Drosophila melanogaster: one gene and its partners. The gene in region 3 interacts genetically with the main gene of each other region. Each region holds a gene or a part of one and is shown on either strand. Other genes may lie near its edges.

Region 1 (8,180 bases), on a different chromosome or scaffold from region 3:
GGTTATCAATGGGCGTTATCGCCAACCTCTTCACCTACAAAATTATGTTGCCAAAATTATTTAATGACATAATCGATCCCAAGCTGGACTTGGACTTCATTGAACCCCCGGAATCGGGAACGAGCTGAAAGGAATTATCTGTCGAAGCCAAAGAGTTGCAACTACGCGATGTTTTCATGCCGGAAGTGTGAATAAATCAGAGAGTGCAGTGCTGCAGAATAACAATAACAATAGCAGCGGTGATTAAGAGTCGAGCTCCGAGCTGACCCAATTTTACATAGTTGTTTATGGTTGATACTATGTAAATGCGAAATCAATGACTACGGATACAGTTTGGAGAGCATTGGTGGACATGATAATTTTCTTTCAAAGTTAATTAAGAATATTATTGTTATAAGCTTCAAGTAACTTAAAAATGCTGCGTTAATGAAATAGGCATATACAGTTTGACAAGCACTTTGGTTAGTATTTAGCAATCTCATAAAATTCAAACGGTTATGGTCTGAGAAGCACTTTAAATAGTAAGAGCCTTATTTTAAATATCATTTCCTAAGTTGTTTTAAGACATAAAAAAAAGTTGAAAAAAGTTATTGCACTACAATCTATACATTTCTCAATCCAAGTCTTTAAAGAGCTGTCAATTTTTGGATATTATACTAAGCATTTCGATTGCACTTACCTTTCCATCCGCCAAGGTAACGGAAACCAGGCTGCCCAACAGATAAACGACGCCCAGAAGACCCGAGAGATGCCTTAGATCTCTGGGTAACATCCTCGCTGGGTCCTTTGGTCCTATCCGCAACGTATTTATGTCGCACTCTATCTAATTGCCTCTGTCTCTCCCCGCTTAAAACACACACGAAACTGCCAACGAAATAAGCATAAAATTAGAAATTGAAGAATTTTCGATTCTTATAAAATGCCCTCAAATAAAACCGACATTAGCAAATCAAGTATTAAAGAGTTGACGATCGGAAAAGTGTGGGAAACTAACAGAAAACGCTGATTTGCTGCTGCTGCGATCGTCGGGCACAGCACTCTCCCCACATGTGGAGATCGTCTAGCGTTCGAAGTATTACTAAACACGAGTCCCGCTAAAGAAATTCGAATTCTTCGCCCGCACACTCGGCACGCTCGGCTCCACTCGTAAAAGTTCGGCCGTTCGCGATCGGCTCTCGGCCCACCAATACTATCGCAAGTGGAAGTTGCAGCAGTGTGAGTGTAGTAGGCACAGGCCAGGGACAGGCCCGGATGGATGTTTTGGATGGAGATTTGGATGGAGGTTTGGATGTAGATGTGACTCCGGGCTCTGGTTATGGTTCGGAATTTAGCACTTTGACGCCTTGAAACGAGGAAATGAGGAGCAGAGCCCTCTAACCAAATCAAAGCGGCCCGATTCTAAGCATACAAATTCTATTTCCCATTTTGGTACCGTATCCCTGAAGGGGTATGATCAATCAGATTCTCACTTTGTTCTTTTTATTAGGCACGTCTCTTGGGAAAATACAAATTATTAAATAATTTATTAATTAATGTTACTATTACTAACTATTACTAACAGGCACATACCATTTATACATAATAACCATCCGCATATAACTTAAATGATAGTTCCAACTAGCGACACACGATATTTCTTGCGGGGTAAAAGCTATTCTAATACTCAATCCCAGCTATCCTAGTGATTTCAATACAATTAGATGCTAGTTTGTTTGTCGCGCTTCTCGTGATTAGGTTAAGGCTTTTTCATTTAGTACTTACATATATGGCATATGTGAGGCTGATAAGACGGATATGGCTGAGTATTTCCTGTTAGAACGAACTACTGATCAACTGAAAACCGAACATGAGTTTTAAGCTCCAATAAGTCCGACGCAGAAAAGCCAAATGGGAACCTTTCGAAATTCGAGCCTGATTTTGGGTTTCGGGGCCACAGTGTTTTGAAATAAGTCTTGATAGGGCGGCTATAATCAAGGCCTCGTTCTAGTTGGGAAAGCTCTTTTGTTCTAGGGTACGTGCAAGTCGGATATGGCCCAGTGGCCTGAATATATGTCTTCTCAGGAAACTGCTGTGATTAGGATATTAAATGATGTCGCACTTCGGCAACTTAAAATCTTATTAATTTATGTTTAGAGCGGTATTAGTAAGTATTATGTCGTACTTACTATCAAAATGAATGGATCTCAATAATTATTATTAATTAAATAACAATAATTATTTTAAGTATGTATAAAACTTGGCACTTAAAATGAAATTTCATTTAAGATACATTTAGTTTTAATAAAGCGTAGATAGATACAAAAAAAATCGAAAAAAGACCATTCTTTGAAACAATAATTGCATCGACATACTAAAATCAATCAAACTAAAATATTTTGTTTTAGAAAAGAATGGAATGATTTGAATAATCAGTTATATATAGCAAATAAAAATATACCAAGTAAAGCTTAAAAAGAGATTTAATCTTCAAAACCTTTGTCAAATTAATTATATCAGTTTTGAAAGCTAGAGAATATTTTTAAAACTTAGAAAAGGACTATAATCCTATTAAAAGTAAAGTATATGCCAATAAAATGTTTACACATGTTTTTGTTATCCTTTAAGTTTTAGATATTTTTATCATACTTATTGTAAGTACACACAAAATTTTGATGAGGTTATAATTAGAACATTGGCCTGATAGCGAAGCCTTCGGAATTTCCCTTGCCCGAGCACCGAAAAAAGTCCAAAAAGCAGGAGCCGCAGGGGCGGACCAAAACGGAAGCCATGTGCCCGATCTCAGGGCGGGGGCTATCAGCTAATTTTGAGATGGGAGCTGGTAGCTGCGATCTGGAAGCTGGGATCTGGGAGCCGGAGAGCTGGTTGAAGGTGCTCCCGGGGAGGTGCTCCGGCGGAACGAAGCTGATGTGCTATTGAGCAACTTAAGTCGCATGTGGCATATCAACAGCAGCGACGGACTTATCGCCAAGTTTCATTCATTCCGCAGCGACTATGTTAACTTGTGGGATTAGTGTTGCTACATACGACGACCCGTCGCCCATCCGTTCTATATGCCATGGTGCCACCACCCACCTCCCACCAGCCACCTCGCAGCCATCGCAACCGATCCGATGCCCATCCAATCCCCGTCGAATCACACGGATAGTGTACATGAGCCGTAGACCCGATCGTCGAGATCGTGCCAAGCCGAACGATCGACGAGTGAAGATCGGGGCATCGGCGTTTGGCTTTTGGATCGCTCGAACTTATACTATAATTAGTCGTGTTCCGTCTCCCCGAGTAAGTAGTAGTCTGGTCTCGGTCCGGAGCTGATCTGGCCAGCTGGTTTTAGTCTTTAGTCAGCGCTGTGGAGTGGTGATCGGTTCGGATCGGATCGCTCGGTTGTGAATGTGTGTTTCCATTAGGGTCCCGTCCCGTCCCGTCCAACCGTCCCTTAAATAGGATTTGATTCCTGTAAGGAACTGAGCTTTTACAACAACAAAATAATATAAACATAAAATATCTTAATTAAATCAGGAAGAACGCGTACTATTAATTGAAAATATCCAGCAAGTCGTTGTGCGAGTCTCGTACCAGTTCCAGTGCCTCTCAAACTGTCGCGTGTATATGCTTGGAAATGAAATGAAACGAAATACAAGAATTAAATCGTTGAAAAAAAATAAGCCAGCTCGATTTTCCCACAAATATTAAATAAAATAATATTCCTCTAAGAATATTTCCAATTTATTTTGCAACTGTTGCGAAATTAAAGTGCCCAATTCTCTGGCTCATCTTTCCAGGCCCAGCGACGGCAACATATAAACTTCAAATTCGACGAGGACAGAGCAAATAATTGTGCAGGCTTAAGTGCATAGGGCATCATGTTGCCCTTCTGGAAGCGGTAAGAAAAATGACAAAAGTTAGAAAAATAATACAAATGGTTGCAAAAATTTAAGTTAATCAAAGAAAGCAATTGTTAATTATTAAAAACCATGACAATAATACTTACTTAACAACTAATAATACTCTATTTAAAAATTTAAAATTTTTTTGAAATTTTTAATGATTAAAACCCAGTTATGGCCTAAAAAAGTATTGCCAATTTTTTTCTTTCTAATCCATTCAGAAAGAGCAAATATTAGTTTTTAAATTAATATTTTAGATATCAGCAATACAAAAATACATAATTTAAAACATCACATTTGTTCAATTTTTTTTTAATTTTTCGAAGCGCGATCTCTTAAAAACTTGTAAGCTCTCTCTTAAGCGCCTTTAGCAAACTCTCTTGAATTGACGGCTTAAGAGAGAGCTGCCAATCGAAGAGAGCTATGTCCAATTAAATAGCTAGACTGATAAGACGAAGCACAGTTCCTAACCCTCCTGATCTTCGTCGACTTCTTTGCAGGCTGCTATACGCCGCTGTGATCGCGGGAGCGTTAGTCGGTGCCGACGCTGTAAGATAACCGTAGCCCATGCCATCCATCTGGACATTGAATAATATACTCCTTTTCCCCGCAGCAATTTTGGAAGACGGCTGGTACGGCCGGTTCGATTCAGGACTCCGTGAAACACTACAATCGAAATGAACCCAAGTTCCCAATCGACGACAGTTACGACATTGTAGACTCTGCCGGCGTGGCGCGCGGCGATCTGCCGCCCAAGAATTGTACGGCCGGATATGCGGGCTGTGTGCCCAAGTGCATAGCGGAGAAGGGCAACCGTGGTCTGCCGGGCCCTCTTGGACCCACGGGATTGAAGGGCGAAATGGGTTTCCCTGGCATGGAGGGACCATCTGGTGACAAGGGTCAGAAGGGTGATCCCGGCCCATACGGACAGCGTGGTGATAAGGGTGAGCGCGGATCGCCTGGTCTTCATGGTCAGGCTGGTGTACCCGGAGTCCAGGGACCCGCCGGCAATCCCGGAGCCCCTGGTATCAACGGTAAAGACGGTTGCGACGGACAGGATGGTATTCCTGGCTTGGAGGGTCTATCCGGAATGCCCGGACCTCGCGGATATGCCGGCCAGCTTGGCAGCAAGGGCGAGAAGGGTGAACCGGCAAAGGAGAACGGTGATTACGCGAAGGGCGAGAAGGGTGAGCCCGGTTGGAGGGGGACTGCCGGTTTGGCTGGACCACAAGGATTTCCTGGAGAAAAGGGCGAGCGCGGCGACAGTGGACCTTACGGAGCCAAAGGACCCCGGGGTGAGCACGGTCTGAAGGGAGAGAAGGGTGCCTCCTGCTACGGACCCATGAAGCCTGGTGCACCGGGTATCAAGGGCGAGAAGGGTGAGCCCGCGTCCTCGTTTCCCGTCAAACCGACCCACACGGTGATGGGACCTCGCGGCGATATGGGACAGAAGGGAGAGCCTGGCCTAGTTGGCCGCAAGGGTGAGCCCGGACCTGAAGGCGACACTGGACTCGATGGACAGAAGGGCGAGAAGGGTCTGCCCGGCGGCCCAGGCGATCGCGTAAGTCGAGTTCATACTTAAGGCTCCAAATCGAAGTGGAAGTTGAAACCTCTATAATGAAATATATACGTACAGGGTCGCCAAGGTAACTTTGGACCCCCAGGATCTACAGGACAAAAGGGAGATCGTGGCGAGCCGGGCCTTAATGGTCTGCCCGGTAATCCCGGACAGAAGGGTGAGCCAGGACGTGCTGGAGCGACAGGTAAGCCTGGTCTGCTCGGTCCTCCGGGACCGCCAGGCGGTGGCCGTGGAACACCAGGACCCCCGGGACCCAAAGGACCCCGCGGCTATGTTGGCGCACCTGGACCCCAGGGATTAAACGGAGTTGATGGACTACCGGGTCCTCAGGGATACAATGGACAAAAGGGAGGTGCTGGTCTGCCCGGTCGCCCCGGCAACGAGGGACCTCCTGGCAAAAAGGGAGAAAAGGGAACCGCAGGACTTAATGGACCAAAGGGATCCATCGGACCCATTGGACACCCAGGACCACCGGGACCAGAGGGACAGAAGGGTGACGCCGGTTTGCCCGGTTATGGCATTCAAGGATCTAAGGGAGATGCTGGCATACCTGGGTAAGTGCAATGATTCATTTAATAGTCCTAGCACTCAGTCGAGTCCCACTGTGGAGCCGAGTCCTGTTCTTACTTTCCTTCATTAAAGATCTTATTTAATTCGAATTAATTTTCGTTCGTCCTAGTTATCCCGGACTAAAGGGTAGCAAGGGAGAGCGCGGCTTCAAGGGCAATGCTGGTGCTCCCGGTGACTCCAAGCTGGGTCGTCCTGGAACTCCCGGTGCCGCTGGTGCTCCTGGACAAAAGGGAGACGCTGGTCGTCCCGGCACTCCTGGCCAAAAGGGAGACATGGGTATCAAGGGTGACGTCGGCGGCAAATGCTCATCGTGCAGGGCCGGACCAAAGGGTGATAAGGGAACGAGCGGACTGCCTGGAATTCCCGGAAAGGATGGCGCACGAGGACCGCCTGGAGAGCGCGGATATCCCGGAGAGCGTGGACACGATGGAATCAACGGACAAACTGGACCGCCTGGTGAGAAGGGAGAGGACGGTCGCACTGGTCTTCCCGGAGCAACTGGAGAGCCTGGCAAACCTGCTCTGTGCGATTTGAGTTTGATTGAGCCATTGAAGGGTGACAAGGGTTACCCTGGTGCGCCAGGTGCAAAGGGCGTGCAAGGATTCAAGGGAGCAGAAGGTCTGCCTGGTATCCCTGGACCCAAAGGAGAATTCGGTTTCAAGGGTGAGAAGGGTTTGAGCGGAGCACCCGGCAACGACGGAACACCCGGACGCGCTGGGCGGGACGGATACCCCGGAATTCCCGGTCAATCCATCAAGGGCGAGCCAGGCTTCCATGGAAGGGACGGAGCAAAGGGCGACAAGGGATCATTTGGCCGAAGCGGCGAGAAGGGAGAGCCCGGTAGCTGTGCGCTTGACGAAATTAAGATGCCCGCCAAGGGTAACAAGGGTGAGCCCGGCCAAACCGGCATGCCAGGACCTCCGGGAGAAGACGGCAGCCCGGGAGAGAGGGGCTATACCGGATTGAAGGGCAACACTGGACCACAGGGACCTCCTGGCGTTGAAGGACCCCGCGGCTTGAATGGACCTCGCGGTGAAAAGGGCAACCAGGGCGCTGTCGGAGTACCTGGTAATCCTGGCAAGGACGGCCTTCGCGGCATTCCCGGACGCAATGGACAGCCTGGACCGAGGGGAGAGCCTGGTATTTCGAGACCCGGCCCTATGGGCCCACCCGGTCTCAATGGTCTGCAAGGTGAGAAGGGCGACCGTGGTCCAACCGGACCCATTGGTTTTCCCGGTGCCGATGGCAGTGTGGGATATCCTGGAGATAGAGGCGATGCCGGTCTGCCCGGAGTATCTGGACGTCCCGGAATTGTTGGTGAGAAGGGAGACGTGGGCCCGATCGGACCCGCTGGTGTTGCCGGACCTCCTGGTGTTCCTGGTATTGATGGTGTGCGTGGACGTGATGGCGCCAAGGGTGAGCCCGGCAGTCCCGGATTGGTCGGCATGCCCGGTAACAAAGGTGACCGTGGTGCTCCTGGAAATGACGGACCCAAGGGCTTTGCTGGCGTTACTGGTGCTCCCGGAAAGCGCGGACCTGCTGGTATTCCCGGAGTTTCCGGTAAGTTTTTGCAGTATCCCATTCGAACATTTGATGTGAACCATTTGGTTTCATTTGTTCAGGTGCCAAGGGTGACAAGGGCGCTACTGGCTTGACTGGCAACGATGGACCTGTGGGAGGCCGCGGTCCTCCAGGTGCTCCTGGACTGATGGGCATTAAGGGTGACCAAGGATTGGCAGGCGCCCCTGGACAACAAGGACTGGACGGTATGCCTGGCGAAAAGGGTAACCAAGGATTCCCCGGTCTGGATGGACCTCCTGGTTTGCCTGGAGATGCCTCCGAGAAAGGACAAAAGGGTGAACCCGGTCCATCCGGACTCCGCGGCGATACAGGTCCGGCCGGAACGCCCGGTTGGCCAGGAGAGAAGGGTTTGCCCGGTCTGGCTGTTCACGGTCGTGCTGGTCCGCCAGGCGAGAAGGGTGACCAGGGACGCAGTGGAATCGATGGACGAGATGGAATTAACGGCGAGAAGGGTGAACAAGGTCTGCAGGGCGTTTGGGGCCAGCCTGGCGAGAAGGGATCTGTCGGCGCACCTGGTATTCCTGGTGCTCCCGGAATGGATGGTTTGCCCGGCGCTGCTGGTGCTC
Region 2 (7,882 bases), on a different chromosome or scaffold from region 3:
GTTAAAGCGTGCTGTTTATCTTTGCAATACTAATAAAAAACTATCCGAGGTATGGGATAAACTAGAATTATTACCAAGATATTTATATTTTACATATATATATCACTATTTACCCAACTGTGCCCCCCTCCAAAGAGTGCTTTATTACCCCTCGAAATACTCGACTAATCGCCAAAGTACACGCCGTTTAGTCTGGCACAACCAGAATGTGCAGATACGGATGGTGGAATACGGGGCAATTGTCTATTTTTAATATCTTATCGGAGGAATTTTTATTAACCGTGTATTGTTCTGCAAATATTAATTAGTTTCTGTGATTGTACAACAAAAAGGGAAATTGCTCTGTGGCTCTTTGTGAGTGTGTGTGTGTGTGCGAGTGTTTGCGTTGCGTGTCATGGCGAAATTATCATTCTTTTGTTGGTGTGACGCAGAGAATGGGTCCCCACACATCCCTTGACTGGATTCCCATGGAATCGTTATTGGGGGGGCTGGTGAAATTGCAATCGACAGACGCTGCGATGACGCATGCTTTTTCCCAGCAGCTTACGGGTGAGTTTGTATCTGTGTGTGTGTGTGAGTGCGGGGTGCGTGCGTGTGGGCCTAGACATATGGCGACAAAGAGGCTGACGTCATAAGCTATCCATCTAACGGGGGAAATGGAAATGAAAATGGAAAACAGAAGCTGGCAGACGAAGAAACTACCCCCAAATGCGTGTCAAGACTTTGGACTTGGACCCACCAGTGCCTTTCGAAGCCCACCAGTAGTGGGCACTTGGGCACTTGGCCTGGCCCACTTTGCACAGCTGCAACATCTTGCCGCGGCAGACAGCAAGCAGCGGCAGCAACATGTCCCACAGCCCCACATCCCACGCAGGCAATTAAGAACGCGACTTGGCTATTGGGTTACACTTAAACTTCACTTCACTTCGCTCCGCCCGTTCGGTTTCGTTTTGTAGTCAGCATTTAAAATTATTTATTAGAAGCAACAGTCGGACAGGCGGTGTCACAAGGCGCGACGTTCGGGGGGGGGCATTTGGCGCTAGAGGGGGGTACGGAGGAGATTCGGTCGTATCAAATGTTTTGCTTTTTGCTTCTCAGTCTTCTTTTTTTCGCTCGCTCTTTGGTCTTCTGTTTTGGGTTTTGCCAAAACGAAACGAGCCAAGCCGGCTTGTTTAAAAAAGGGGGTTTTTGAATCAGGGGCTTCGGAGCGGGCAGGAGGAGGAGGGGAGGGGGGCATACATGGGTGGCGAGGGGTGTCTCCTATATCGTCTGGCGCTTGGCGACAGCAATTTACCTTTAAGCGAATGCAAAAGTATGCGGAGAGCCGAAGAACAAGCGGCGGAAAAAGTAGTCGCAGCCGCACACAATTACCCCACTAGAAGAATTCTTCGTAGAACGGGAATCGGGAGCGGAGAGCGGGGATTGGGGAATGGGAAATGGGTTCTCTATAGCTGGACCATCTCTATAAATAAGTTAAAAGTCGCTGGCCGAACCAGCTGCACCATAAATCATAAGCAGACGCGCGAGTGTCGAGTTATTATGCGATCATATTTTAATTGGTGGATTATTATTATGCAGGCAGTGTTGCAGACCGCAGTCCCCCCCCCTTCACCCCCTCGACAGCATAATCAAGTGCAGCAAACAAACAAACAAAAACACCTGCAAAGACACCAGTTGCACTGGCTGCTCACCTCTCCAGGTGAGCGTGCGGATTGCAGATCGCTCGCCTCGAGAGTCCCGTGTGTGGAGCAGAACCGAATCCCCCCAAGATTGTGGACCGCAGATCGGGGATCGCAGACCGCCTGGCTCTGCTGTGCTTGGACAGGTGCGTGAACGTGGCCAGCGGGAGCGAGAAAGAGTCGCAACCCGAATCGTACCCTAACGTATCCGAACAGGGAGTACCCTGGAAAGCACGCTCTTCTAAGTCCTTTAGAATCTGAATACATGTATTACTTAAAGGATCTAAGATAACGCAGATCAAATTAAATTGGAAAATAAATCATTTTAAGTTTCGCTTTTCTGTGGGCAAGTTACTAGAGTTAGTAAGTTAGTTATCATGCCTTTCTCAACCCCAAAAGATTCACTCCATCCAAAGGACTTTCTAACTTCAAAACTTGTAAAAACTACTTTCTGCCCATCTTCATTCAAGAGTTCCCCAACTCGTGCTAAGCAAACAACATCATCCACTTCAATTACCCTTGATCCAAGGGTATAAACACATAGTTTTTTTTTTAAACCAAATTCACATGCAGTTCGTAGTTGTAGTTGCAGTTGTTATTGTTGATGTTGATGTTGGTCGGTGGACAGAAGGGGCAAACGAGTTGGCCCCGCCGCCTGTGTATGCCAGTTGTCAGTTGGCAAAACTGGTATGGTTGCATTTTTATTATAAAGCGAACAGAAACAACAACAAAAAGCGACACCTAGGCAGTACGGGAAAGTCCGTCCGTTTGTCTCTGCCACTGCAAGTCAGGGATCGGAGGATAGGGGATTGGTTTGGATAGCTCAAGGATGGGAGGCTTGGGGACGCCGAATGGGAATGGGAATAGGAATGGGGACTGTCATCCATGGGCTGGTGTGTCGCCAGTTTAGCCCAGTACGCGAACTGCTAGTCAGACGTCTGTTCTATGGACGTTTCATGGACATACCGGCGCACATTCGTATTAACCCATGTAGCTTTGGCTTACTACCTGCCCCGCCCCCAAACGTATCCCAATCCCAATTGCAGTCCCCCCTGCAAAGAGCAGTTATTACCAGTGTTATTTACACAGAGATAAATGAAGAATGTGACGAAAGAAAATACGTTAAAACTAGCAAGATATTAGCAATCAAAGATACAGTATGTTGTATTCAAAATACGAAACAATGGTAATACATTTGATAAAACAGATATAAATTTGAACAGAAGTACTTGGATGCATTGAAAATGCTTAAATAATATTTCTTTCCGTGCATACTTTATTGGCTCTTATGTTTGCGTTTCGGTTTGTGTCTCCATTGCCCCAGCAGTCGTAATTTGTTTTGGTGTCCTTCTGCCAGACTGTCCTCCTAATGAGCCAGTTTATTGTATTTCCTATTTGTGGCCCCGTCCACCAAGCGATGACACTTTTTATGGCTCGATGAGGGTAATACAGGAAATGGCCTGCGATTAGCTTAGTGACAATTCTCGCTGCAATTGAAGTTTCAGCTGCAGTTGCAGTTGCAGCAGCAGCTGCTGCAGTGATTTATCATCTTTGCAGCCTGACAGTTGGCCAGCTTATATATCTATATATCACCTGGTGATATTTGACACATCGTTACTAATTGGTTAAACAATATGTATCACCGCTGACTCATGCCCGGCAATAGATAAGGTGTTTTGTGCTCATGCACCCGATCTGCGGCACTTTGTTTAATCGCTCACTTAGTTGGTAGCTGTTAAGCGGCTTAAAGTCGTTCTACACACTCGAAATGCTCACTTAGAACGCCTCAATGGTTTTCGAATTGGATTTATTAAGCCCAAACCAAATGGCTGTCGGGCAATTAAAGCCAACTATGATTTCCGCCTTTACAAAATGCTATGCAAATGTTCTCAATTAAATGCTGGCCCGGACACTCAAACATATGTTTGCTTATTCGCAATTTGATCGGCTTTTGATTTCGAATTTACAACTTTTAATGCTTGGCAGTAATCAATTCGAAGGAAATCAAGAGAGAGAGGCGAGAGCGAGTGCCAAATGTGATAATAGAAACCAAACAATTAAACAATTTTCGCAAAATGTTGAAACAACAAAGGCAGATAGCACACACGTTCGCAGATACACACAGATAAGTGAAATGTTTATATGTTTCGCATTATAATAAAACAAAATCGCACTTGGCATTATAGCAACAAAGAATCGGGGAATCTCCGGATCAGGGAATCGGGGAATCGCGGAATCAGGGAGAGGCAAAGATTAATTACAAAGGAAAAAGTAAAGACGCAAAGTTTACCCGTAATTACACTTCCAGATTTCCAGATGAGGTGCTTCTACTGCTGCTGCTGCTGCTGCTGGTGGCAAGAAATCGGCGGAATCGAAAATTAATTATGCTTGACATGTTGCCAGCGATCATCAGTTCGCCTCTTGTTCTTGCTGTTATTGTTGTCGTCTAGTTGTTGCTGTTGTTGCTGCCACTCGAACCGATATAAATCGCATTTTCAATTGCCTGGGCTTGGGTCTATTTTTTATTTGTATTATTTTTTACGTATGTATGTATTTCTACGCGAAAAAGAGAGGCCACACCGCGTTTGGAAAGAGACGAAGCACTTAGAACTCACTGGCGCATAATTTATTTGAGCCGGCGCGCGCCTTTCATTTCAATTCCCATTTCCATTTCGATTTACATTTGCATTTCAATTTCAATTTGATTGCGAGTACTTCGATTCGCTTGCCACAGATTACGCATACGCCACGTTGTGTGCGCGCTTGTCCGTCGACGCTGTCAAAGGTTCAATTTCGCGCCGTGCCGCAATTGCAATAAGCATTCAATTCAATGCAATTCAATGAAATTGCGCGCCAATTCGCCGGACCCACTGGAAAACGCTGCTAGCCAGTGTTAGTGGAAAACGACGCATTAGCGCACGCAGAAAATCAGAAAAACAGAAAATCGCACAAGTCTGAATATCAGAAATTCAAGCTAAGCCCCGCATTAAGATTCAGTCGCGTTGATAACAAACTTCAAATTCGTTTATGTTGTTTTCTATTTGAATTGCGTTCGGACTACGTATTTTATAGTAATTACGCTCCACCAGCGATCGTTGTCTCGTGTGAATCGGCGAACGTGAAAATCGCGCGCGAGTTTTCCCCTTTTACGGCTGATAGATTTTCCTGGCCAGCAATTTACAATTTCGAGCCACTCTCGAGCGCTTCTGGAAAACCGCACCGCTCGCGTGCGCAGCTAAAGTTGAACTGAGCACTGCAAGCGGAAAAAACGCTGAGAACACTGAGAAAACGCTCGTCTGCGTTCGGGCTGGCCTTCGTGTCGGTGTCGCCGAGCCGAGCCGAGCCGAAGGCGAAGCAGCGCAGCAGCAGAGGATTGGGGCCTCGTTTTTGGGGGCTCGCACTTTGCTGCGATTTTTTAGCGATAAGGGGACTTTTCTGGTGTTGTTGTACAAACGCTAGTTGCCTTCTAAAGTTTTGAACTAATTGTTATGCTTATAGTGATTCCTTAAAAACAAAATACTAGTAAAATATGTTTATAATATTTCATTGTCTACGATAATTTTGAGATAATCTAGATTTTATAGAGATAGTATAGCCCTAAAAAGTTAACAGTCAATGTCTACTAAATTAAACATGTCGTAACATGTTTGAGATGTTAAGATATTCATATCCAACTGTACCCAAATTTCAGGGCTGCCGACTTCAAAGGCGCACTCTTCACGAATTGCAATTGAAATCGAATTTCAATCTACATTCACACATTCCTAAGCGAAATGAACACCTCGACGATGGCAAAGTGTTAACAGGGCGAACATGAGAAGCGACCCCCCCCCCCCCCTGCGCATTGGGTGGGAAATCAACACACCTTAGTAGTCGCATGGTAGGCAAATCAATTCAATGCGATTCGTTTCGATTCAATTCCGGGAACTTTTGCCAATTAGAATTTGTCAACTGGCATTCCGCGCTGTCTGCCTCGACTTCTTTGTTTTGATAGTTCACGGAGGTATTTTCCCGTCTGATAAAGGCATTATTCGGCCGTAGTATCAATTCGATTGCTTTCCACTCGAACCATGAATGAATTGAAGTTCAAAAGCCTGCTGATTAGATCAGTGTGTGTCAGGTGGAATTGAATGACTTTGCAGTCAGGTGAAATTATCACCAGAATGGCATGTACATATGATAGTGTAAACTTGAAAATAAGGTGCTATAAATGACAAGGAATTTCACAATCCATACCAATAGCAATGAATCATTGCAAGTAATAAAAATTTTTTAAGCTAACTAAACTAACCAAAGGCGTGGGCTAAGTTCTAGCTAAGTTACCTGGGAGCTCTTTAGTTTTAGTTGCACTATAAATCGTAAGCAGCAGTTCTTTCCCACAATGAATGAATGAATCCATTCATTATGATCCCCAAAGCCGACGTGACTGCAATCCGAATTGTGTCTTATGGTATTTGTCTCGAATGCGATAATAGCACTTAAAGCTCTTAAATGCATTTGGCAGATGATGAGACAGAGACGGTGGTACAAATGGTGGCGAGTTTTCGAGACCCTGGGATAATTCACACTTAACCCGCAGCCAAATCAAACTGCCAGCCATTTGACATTTATGCGATGGCCTTTTTTTGCATGTTTTTCTTTTTTGTTTTTTTGGAAAAGCTGCCGCGGCACGCTAGGAAAATGCCACGGAGTTGCAGCTGAGCTGGAGATGATTTATGCACTCATTGTATCTGTAGTTGTGGCTGGAAAATTGCAGTTATCACGAACGAAGCTCGGTTTGGATTATGCTTCGGTTTCAGCTTTGCTTATGCTCTTGGTTTCAGCTTTGGATTTGGAGATAGAGATGGAGTTTCCCAGGCCATGGATTTTGTCACTGGAGGTTGCCTAGTCATTATTTATGAGGCGAACGGTGCAATATGCAGCCAGGTGGGAACCGTGACGCAGTCTGTAAAATTAAATAATTGCGTTTCATTAAATGCCGTTTGCTATTTGCATAGGTTCCCCCCGCATTGCAAACAAAGTGCAAAGCAATTTGGCATAAACGTCATCGGGTCGAATTGCTTAGTGTTTGGGTGGATGGGGAGGTAGACGGTGGGCGGTGGGCAGTGGGCGGTGGTTGGAAATCTGAGAATCCCGCCCCACAATTTTCCACGCCACTTGAGCGTAATTAAGCGTTGAGCTTCTAAGCCCTAAGCAAATAGGCAAGCCGTCGAGCGTCTCCAGCCCCAAAACCACCCCCCACATTTGGTGCGATTATCCACAGCCTATATGCTATATATATACGATTGCGAAGCAGTTTGCGCAGCGAATCGATGCTATTTTGATACTGGTAAATATTTGCAATTGGCCAATAAGTGACTCGGTCGCTGTTGTGCTGGCTATTTCGGGATGAGCGTCAGGTGAGAATAATCCCAATTCCAATAGCCCAAGCTCGACCGAAGTTGTGAAATAGTTTGCACCCAGTCAAAGAGTCAACAATCTATGGGGGATCTGGTCGATCTGGGCATTTTCCATAAAGTTATCACGCGCACATCGAAAACCAACAGCCTGCTCACAAACAAGCTGCTCAAATTTCCCTAATGGCGCAGAGTTCATTTGCCCCATGGAAAGCGATACCTACATACATATGTACAAACATACATATCGGGTCCACAGAATTGGAAAAGTGGCTTCAAGGAGCAAATTGCAGGGAGATAACTGCGGACAAAGATCAAGTGCCTCCACTTCAAAAATATATTGTACACTCCCAATGAAAAGAATAATTACAATGCAAAAATAATATACAACACATTAAATAGAAGGCCAATTTTTGTAGTCCTTAAATTCTAATTAAAAATTATTTAGAAAATAATTGGGTAAATTATTATACTTCATAGATATGAATAGATTTTAAATCTTCATTCAAAGTGAATTAATTTTTTTCCTCTCTGTGATGGCCCTCCTTGTCCCATTCCAGAACGACACCCCCCACCACCCCGGAATGTTTACACAGGCGGCACGACATTAACACTGTAATTAGGTGTATCCAGTGTATCCACTGCGACATACGAGTATCAACAACACATTGTCAACTTCTTCTGGCTTCTGGCCGGGCTAATTGAAAAGCTCTTTTGCACATGTCCATTTATCTATATAACAATAATGTGGGCGGTGGGCGTGGCCGGGGTCAGTGCATTGCCAATTCGAAAGGGCTGGCCAAGGGG
Region 3 (7,822 bases):
ATCACGCGCCTCTATGCGATCGCTGATAAAATTCTATTTTTTTTTAGCCCGTCTGTGTTTTTTTGTTCTTGTTATTTTTTCAACTTTTTTGCGGATTTATTGTGTTTATATTGTTTTTTTTTTTTGACAGCATTGCCGCCGAACTGTGGCCATAAACATTTGCATTCGCTTGGATTGCATTTATTTATTGAATTTGCATCATGTGCTGGGTTCAATTTATAGGTAGCTATATTCGCTATTTATATATATAAATGAAATATATATATATATATATATATGTATATCTGTTTATAAGGATAAGCCCCGCACGTGCCCCTGACTTTATGATCGCGTGCTGTTTGTTTGCCCGTCGCTCTTTGTTTGTTTCCTTTTCCGCCGGCTTGTTTGCTTACCTTGCCAACTTGTTTGCCCCCCTTTTGTATTGCCCCACCCCTCTTCCCCCACCTCCTATTGTGGCCCCCCTTGGACCAACGCCCATGCCAAAAGGCACTAATTGCCGCCGCATTTGCAGCTGATTTGGCGCTAAGCGAATGCGAGCTGCCAGGCAAATATTTATGGGGTCATTCCCGTCTCGTGTCAGCCGCTGGCCAAAAAGCCAAAACAACTAAAACAGCTTCAATATCAGCTAGCTAGTATGGCCCTGAAGATTCCAACCGAGTTGCTAATTTAGTAAATAACAAATTTGATAACAGTGCGAGCAACCTGGTTTATCTACTAATTGTTAGCCAAGCTAAGTGGCAGGGATTGGGCAAATTTTATTGCAAAAACTGATATAAAAAAGGTGAAGCCTTTTTGTCAATTAAATATGTCATTTGCTTTTTATATTTGCACATCTTATGGTGCCTGAAAATATTTTCATATGTAATTATTGAACATCTATTTCTTAGCAAGCTGAGGAGAATTATATCAGCAATGTCAAAATTATAATAATAATATTTTTACAGAGTATGCCAGTTTGTCTCGAAAGCTTGAAGTGCGATTTTGAATATATTCAGTACAATCAATTAGTAGCTTATGACACATTTTATATATATTATGAATATTTATAATATATTTATTTCTATTCAATGCACTTTTGTGCCAACGGAGCATTGCCCAATTTCCATCGAAATCGCAGCCATTTTCGAGCTTCTCGCCAATTTCCATCACGTTGCAGTCTCGATCGCTTCGAAATATATATGTAAGTTGGAAATTCAGAAACTCAGAAAAACAGAAATTCAAAAAGTCGGGACTGAGACTTTGACGTTCGATCGTGACAGAATATGAATTGAAAGGGAAACCAGATTGTTAGCACTCGACTATGGGTATAGAGATGGTAGAGGTACTGGGCATGTCCATAAGGTTGGATACCGTTGTGATAGTGTGTGTATTCATAGTTACACACATTATCGAGCCAGTGAAAATGTTCTACACAACTTTGCTATGCTAGTGACGACTATTTTTAGACGTCCAGCACCACAGCACTTTGTTGGCAAAAATGCAGTAACAAAAATAAATAACTTGGCCAACAGTTAGTTAGTTGTTGTTTGCCTCGCCCCGCCGCACTTTTTTTTTTTGATGGATCATCGCCGTCGTGACGTCAGCAAATGTTGTTTTGTTCGCTGCACCGAAGGCGCAAAAATATTCGGCATATTTGTGTTGATCTCTAGCCGTCAAGCGTCATGAAACGTAATGGATACAGCTCCTTCCGCCTGGCCACATCCACGGCATTGTGGGCTGTCCTAGGTTAGTTTTCACTGTACTCGAGTCGAGTGGGCGAGGCCAAACGCCTCACTAGCCGCCAATCCCGGGCACGATTGGGCTGCCAAGAAGCTTTTGGCTTCCATGGGAAGACAGCGAAAGCCTTTAAAATGCCAAGCTGCACTGGGAAAAAAAAAACAATGAAGTAATGTAATTGGTCATGAACGAAGCTTTTGTAAATATACGCATTAAGCGATTTCTTTAAAATATATATTTTTTTTTACTTATGTAATAAAACTATTTTAAACTGTTTTTTAAAGCTTATAAGTGAAAATAAGTTCCTAATTATTAGAAAACTCAAAAGTATTCATTATTCATTACTTTTTTATCCTGAAAAGTTGAAAAGGGTTTGCAAATAAAATGAATATGATGAGATATTATGATAAATCACCTTTAGTTTCTAATAAAGCTACCAAAAAAGCGTTCTAAAGATATCCCTCGGAACCAAATGTATCTGAAAGTCGTAATATCTTAGATCCTAACGTAATGCTCTTGGAAATGGCTTTCTGTGGCTACACATACACATACACATGGCTACACAGCGATTTGTCGCCGCCGTGGAGAGGAAAGAAGAGGAAAGGAGAGGAAGGGAGAGGAGAGTCCGCTTGGAGCTGTCTATGTCTATTTTGCGAAAGGGGGAGATGGTAAGGTGAGCGATGCCGGCGAGAGTGGGTGGCGACATTGGGAGCGGAGAGTGATGGCACCAGAGAGAGAGAGAGAGAGAGAGGGAGATCGAGTGAGAGAGCGAACCGCTATGTCTAGATCTAGGTCTATATGATTATATGCTGAAAACTTCAGTTTGTCAAAGATCGCGACGACCGAACGAACGACGCTAGAGAAACGCGCACCGAAATCGATGACCAATCCAAACGATAACGATTGCCAGCCCGCAGGAGTCATTTCGAAAATTGCGCGCGCGTTTTTGGCGACGTATTGCATATAAATCATATGTATATGTCCGCATATACATATAAACGAAACGAACATATAGAACATATATTTCCATATCTCGATATTCTATTTCATTGTTCATTGTTGCCCCTATTTTTTTTTTCTTGTGAAACGTATGTATGTGCGCGCGTCTGTGGAATGGTGCAATTACAGTCGTAGTTATTGGTTTTTAATGAACCTCTTAAATTGCCATTGAGGAACGTGAAAAGTGCCCGAAAGCCCGAAACGGAAATTATACTTTACACTCATGATTATTAGTTGTGGAAATTGCAGCTTAAATCGCCATTAATCGACACACACATATGGGCGTGGGTGAATCGTTAAATAGTACTCATAGTGATTGCACTGCTACACTGCGTTTCGGCATGTTAAGTCTGGCCGTTTTGAGAAGCAATAACTATTTAACCGAATTCTTCTATTGCCCTTTCAATAACTAAATAACACACAGCGACTTGGCAACGAAATGCTAGCTCTAGAACAGATGAAGGTAATGATAAGAGTGTCTCAACAAACAATACAATCCTGAAACGCACTGTACCTGCAACCTGAAAGCTCTTGCCCCTCTGGATTATAAGTCCGTCACTTTCGGTTTTAATGATCGCATTGAAATGGAATGTCATCGACCAATTTCAATTCTAATTCCATTCCGATTCCGATTCCGACCCAATATCGTCGAGATCGAGGCGACACACGCCCCAAAAACGAGACAATTACCCAGGAATGGGGCATGATTTCTTTTATTATTACTGTGTTTAGATCGAATCTGACGCCAAAAGGGCGACCTAAAAAAAAAAAAAAAAAAAAAACCAAGACAAGAAAAAACGTAATCACAAAGAATGGGAAAAATCAATCGAACATCGAACATTCGATGCGGACCAGTTGCAGAACGGCAAAGGGGGCAGATCGGTGGATAGCTGGGATAGATAGACAGATATATACATAGATATATAGATAGATAGATCGATCGATCGATCGGGCGATCGGGCGATCGGGCGGTCGGGCGAATGATGAAATTTCCAGAGCGTTTCAATAGCAACCGGCAACAGAAAGAAAAAGCAACACCGACCGACAACGAACCATTTACAATTCCAATCGAATGGCAATTGTTGCCGACTTGCAGCATGATTCAAATCGAGGGCGTGACAGAGGAAATGGGGCGGGGGGTAAATACCTAGATTACCGTACTCGATGACGCAGCCCAGGTATGTGTAGGTACTCTCGATCGCTTGAAAGTCGACAGATACTCGCAGTATCTAGCGACAGTGATGAAGAGTTTAACTGCGCTCGGAAAATCCATCATTATCATGCCGCTGATATGATAACCAACCATTGAAATGGCTAAGCAACAATCTGTTAGTAAGATTGTATGGTGTTTTATTTCGATCATTAAGCTAAACTAAAACTTCCATCACTTAGTTCAAACTTTAGCTTGTCTCACGAATCCCATTCCGTCCATCAATTGATCAAACAATCGATCGCCGGATCGTTTGAGTTTGTTTGATCGTTCGATGATCGCGACAACAAGAAGAAGACGACCAAAATTTAACGATGTTGGCCAGTTGGCTAACTGCGGTTTTACTGCCACTTTACGTGCTGCTGTTTTGTCTGGCAAACAAAACATTCGCACACACATGACACACACACGGCACACATGACGTATACGCGATATTTTTGGCCTGCTCTCGCACAGAAACAGAAAGACATAGTGCGAGTGCGAGTGGGACGGGTGGACTGGCGAAGGGAGAAAGAGCTACACGGAATCTCTGTTGCTAGGGTGGCAGTTTGTATGGGGGGTTAGTCAGCTTATAAATAATGGAATATCATCTAGGTGCTTTCTGAGTGCCGCAAACTATGGTGAACTTTCGTACGATGGAACCTCCGGAAAATTACTCAATCGAATCGCACACAAATTTCCCGGAAATCTTATATTTCATTTAATGCTTTTAAGATTTTTTTAAGAACTTTGAACTTAGTAGTTGGTCTCCTTTCAACCTATTCACTTTTAATTTGTCCACTGTTTCTAACTGATTCACACAGATGTCTCAAATGATTGGACCTTCTGGCTTCGATGACCATCAAATCAATTGCATGTGACTGCAGTGAAATAGTACTCAACCACACACGCATAAGTGCATATTTATGTAGTACACTTGAAGAAATTGCATTGAACAAATAATTACAAAAGGAAAAAATATTTTAGGCAGTACGATTTATGGAAAATGCAAATATTTCTAGATTGAAAAAAAAACTTACTTTTCAGCTGTTTTGGCTGTTTAAACTAATGAAACACACCAATATTGATCTTCAACGTCTCCGAACTGTTTTTCGAAATCAAGAAAAGAGAATTTTCTCTCAGTGTGCGCATACTTTCTGGCCTGTTATGCAGTCAAAAGCCGTCACTTTGCCGCTTCTGTTTCATTTGATGTCTTTCTGTGTGCGTTTGCCGTTCGCCATTTGCCATTTGCCATTTAAATGAATGCAGGCAATTTTGCGCTGGTGGCTGCTGTTTTTGCTGCTGTTGTGATTTGCTTTTGATTGGCATCTAATTTATGATTGACAGTTACATTAGAAACATCTCGGAACAGCAAACAATCAGAATCGGGCCTACCGCAAGATCTCGCCAAGGCATCGAAAAAGCATCGCCAGTTGAAGCATCGAAGAGCTGAGACCTTATGGTCGGATATCGACTTAGCTCACGGTTGTCAATCAAGCTATTAAATAATTTACAAACAAACAAACACACACGCGAACACACACATTACATACATATAAGCACACACACACAGCACGCACACATAGATGAGCAGCACACTGAGAATCGAATTTATGAACTAACATCTTGATTTACGTAGTCTTCGCTGGCTGAATGCGGTTTGAAGCTTTGACACCTTGACGGGCATTGTCAAAGAGTTTCACACTCAGCGGCACTCGCACACACCGGCTACTGTTCTATCGGATTACGCGGCGTATGCGCAATGTGGCCCGAACGAGAAGCGATCGAGTATCGAACTGCCAGTTAAGGCGGCAAGTGGAAAATGCAGTTTATCAGTTAGTCAGTAAGTCAGTCAGTCGCTTAGTCAGTTGGGCAGTTAGCCAGCTGGTCAGTTAGTCGCTAAGTCGGCTAGTCAGTCTGTCAGTTAGTCAGTTAGTCAGTTAGTTAGTTTGTCAGTTTGTCAGCCCCCACAGAACAAAGTTGTCTGCCCGATATAGGCCACAATGTGGGGCTGTAAACAAAACTTGAACACTCGACGGAGCACTGACATAACCGCTCTGCAATCGACTGATAAGAAACTACTATATAATGTATATAGATACATATTTATATATATACACATATATATATGGGCTTGCAATTGCCTGGTAGGTGGGTGCCGTAATATTAATTGCCAATGAACCGCGAATGGAAAGGGGGAAATGAATCTGTCAATGGAAATATTATTTTGATAATGAAGTAAGGATGGAGTATTTAATTATCAATTTTGGCCTTATTACTTAAATGTAGTATTAAATGTAATGCAGTAAATGTAAAGTAGAGAACCAAAAAGTTACTTTTAATAATTTTTTGGTGTTTTTATCTACACATTTTCTTTAATTTGGTTGCAAAGTCTTCCCAGTTAGTTCAACGTGACCTTCTGGCTCCCGCTTTTCTTTTTGGACCGTTCAAAGTACAACTTGGCCGGAAAACAATGAGAACACACACTTTTACCCAAAGGAAAATGCCCAACGAACATTTTCACTGGCATACAAAGTGTATTTTCCATCGCCTCGCTGAGTGCGCACAGATTGTTCAGATATACTGGGCGACTATATGGCAATATGGCTATATCTTTGCATGGACATACATAGATATAGATATGCTGTGTGTGTCATGTTGCTGCTATGCTGGCGACGCTGGCGCTGACGCTGGCGTCGACGTCGGCAGAGCTAGCTAAAACTACATAAATCAAAGGAAAAGCATTTTTCTGTTTTCTGTTTTCTGATCGTCTAGCTGAAAATTTGCTTTTGTTTTTCGATTCATTTATATTTCTCGTAGTCGTTTTTCTCTTTGCTTTTCTTTGCGATTGTTGATTGCTATCGTTGTTGCTATTGCAATGGCATTTTGTACGCATGTTTCAGACATTTAACATTTCGTTTTTTTTTCGTTTTTTTTTATATAGACAAGAGACAGATATCGTTCATATACATTACACATAAATACATACATACATCTAGAGGCAGGCTTTTTGTATTTTTTTTTTTGTATTTTTTTGCGGCGGGGCCGTGAGGCCAAAACATTTATAGGAATATTTCAAATTGCAGACGACGACGCCTCAAATGAGGCTGACAAAAGGAAAAGCGACAAAAAAAAGCCAAACATAAATAAAGCTGAAGGGAACTATAATTGATGGTAGAGCCGGCTGAGATACCCTGTAATTTGGTGGCCATAATATCAAGCACTCGGCCGGGGGAAATGCCCATTAAAATGCTGCTCAAGTGTAACAATAAAATCACATTCTCATATGTTGCAAGCAAGTTTTAATTATGCATTAATTTATGAAAATTATTGGAAACAGCGAATGCATTATTTTCATTCATTTCATAGTCGAGTGCGTCGATTTGAAGAAAAAGTCCTGTGGCATTACTCGATTTTCTTTGATGTTCGCCAACGTGAAACACATCACTATCAAAAATAAATATTTCTATACAATTAAATGGCAAAGCTACCTGAACTTTTTCCATATATTTAAATGTATTAAATGTATATTTAAATTAAAAGTCGTGAAGATTATGCCATTACGATCTAGTTAAATATAGCCAGGCAGCCAATTTAGATGGTTTTCGTTTTTTTTTTTTCTAATTGGAGATCAGCCGAGAGATTTAGGGAACCCTGGACCTGTGATGAGTATATCAAATATGAAATTAATGAAAACTGCGACTAAAAGCCAAAGCGTGTTGTTTGCTTTTCTTTTGTTGATGCCATCTATTTTGGTGCATATTATTTCATATGCCTTACATTCTTGTTTGCTCGGTTGGTTCGATTTGGTTGCTTTTAATAAACCGAAAACTATTTTAATATGTTTTATTTATACTTAAATTGTGACACAAATGATTGTTAACGATATTGCTAGATATTATGGGGCAGGCATGATAA

Evidence for each region. A genetic interaction does not mean that the proteins touch.
Region 1: of sog (region 3) and Col4a1, changing one suppresses a phenotype caused by changing the other (phenotypic suppression), as found in Drosophila melanogaster (one study listed by BioGRID).
Region 2: of sog (region 3) and cv-2, changing one suppresses a phenotype caused by changing the other (phenotypic suppression), as found in Drosophila melanogaster (2 studies listed by BioGRID).

Annotation. Positions count from the first base shown.
Region 1 is NT_033779.5:5,026,358-5,034,537, forward strand, and holds the start of Col4a1 (collagen type IV alpha 1), read left to right. Parts: upstream 1-3,251; 5' UTR 3,252-3,389; exon of another isoform or gene 3,390-3,453; intron 3,454-3,779; 5' UTR 3,780-3,860; coding exon 3,861-3,880; intron 3,881-4,384; coding exon 4,385-4,433; intron 4,434-4,497; coding exon 4,498-5,445; intron 5,446-5,520; coding exon 5,521-6,017; intron 6,018-6,142; coding exon 6,143-7,593; intron 7,594-7,655; coding exon 7,656-8,180. Other genes in the region: vkg (viking), read right to left, coding at 680-772. UniProt on the Drosophila melanogaster protein: Collagen type IV is specific for basement membranes.
Region 2 is NT_033778.4:21,374,536-21,382,417, forward strand, and holds the start of cv-2 (crossveinless 2), read right to left. Parts: upstream 4,930-7,882; 5' UTR 3,970-4,929; intron 1-3,969.
Region 3 is NC_004354.4:15,628,165-15,635,986, reverse strand, and holds the start of sog (short gastrulation), read left to right. Parts: upstream 1-2,552; 5' UTR 2,553-3,178; intron 3,179-7,822. UniProt on the Drosophila melanogaster protein: Putative negative growth factor. Antagonist of dpp, a protein involved in patterning the dorsal region and in the development of the neuroectoderm; dpp inhibition is enhanced by tsg.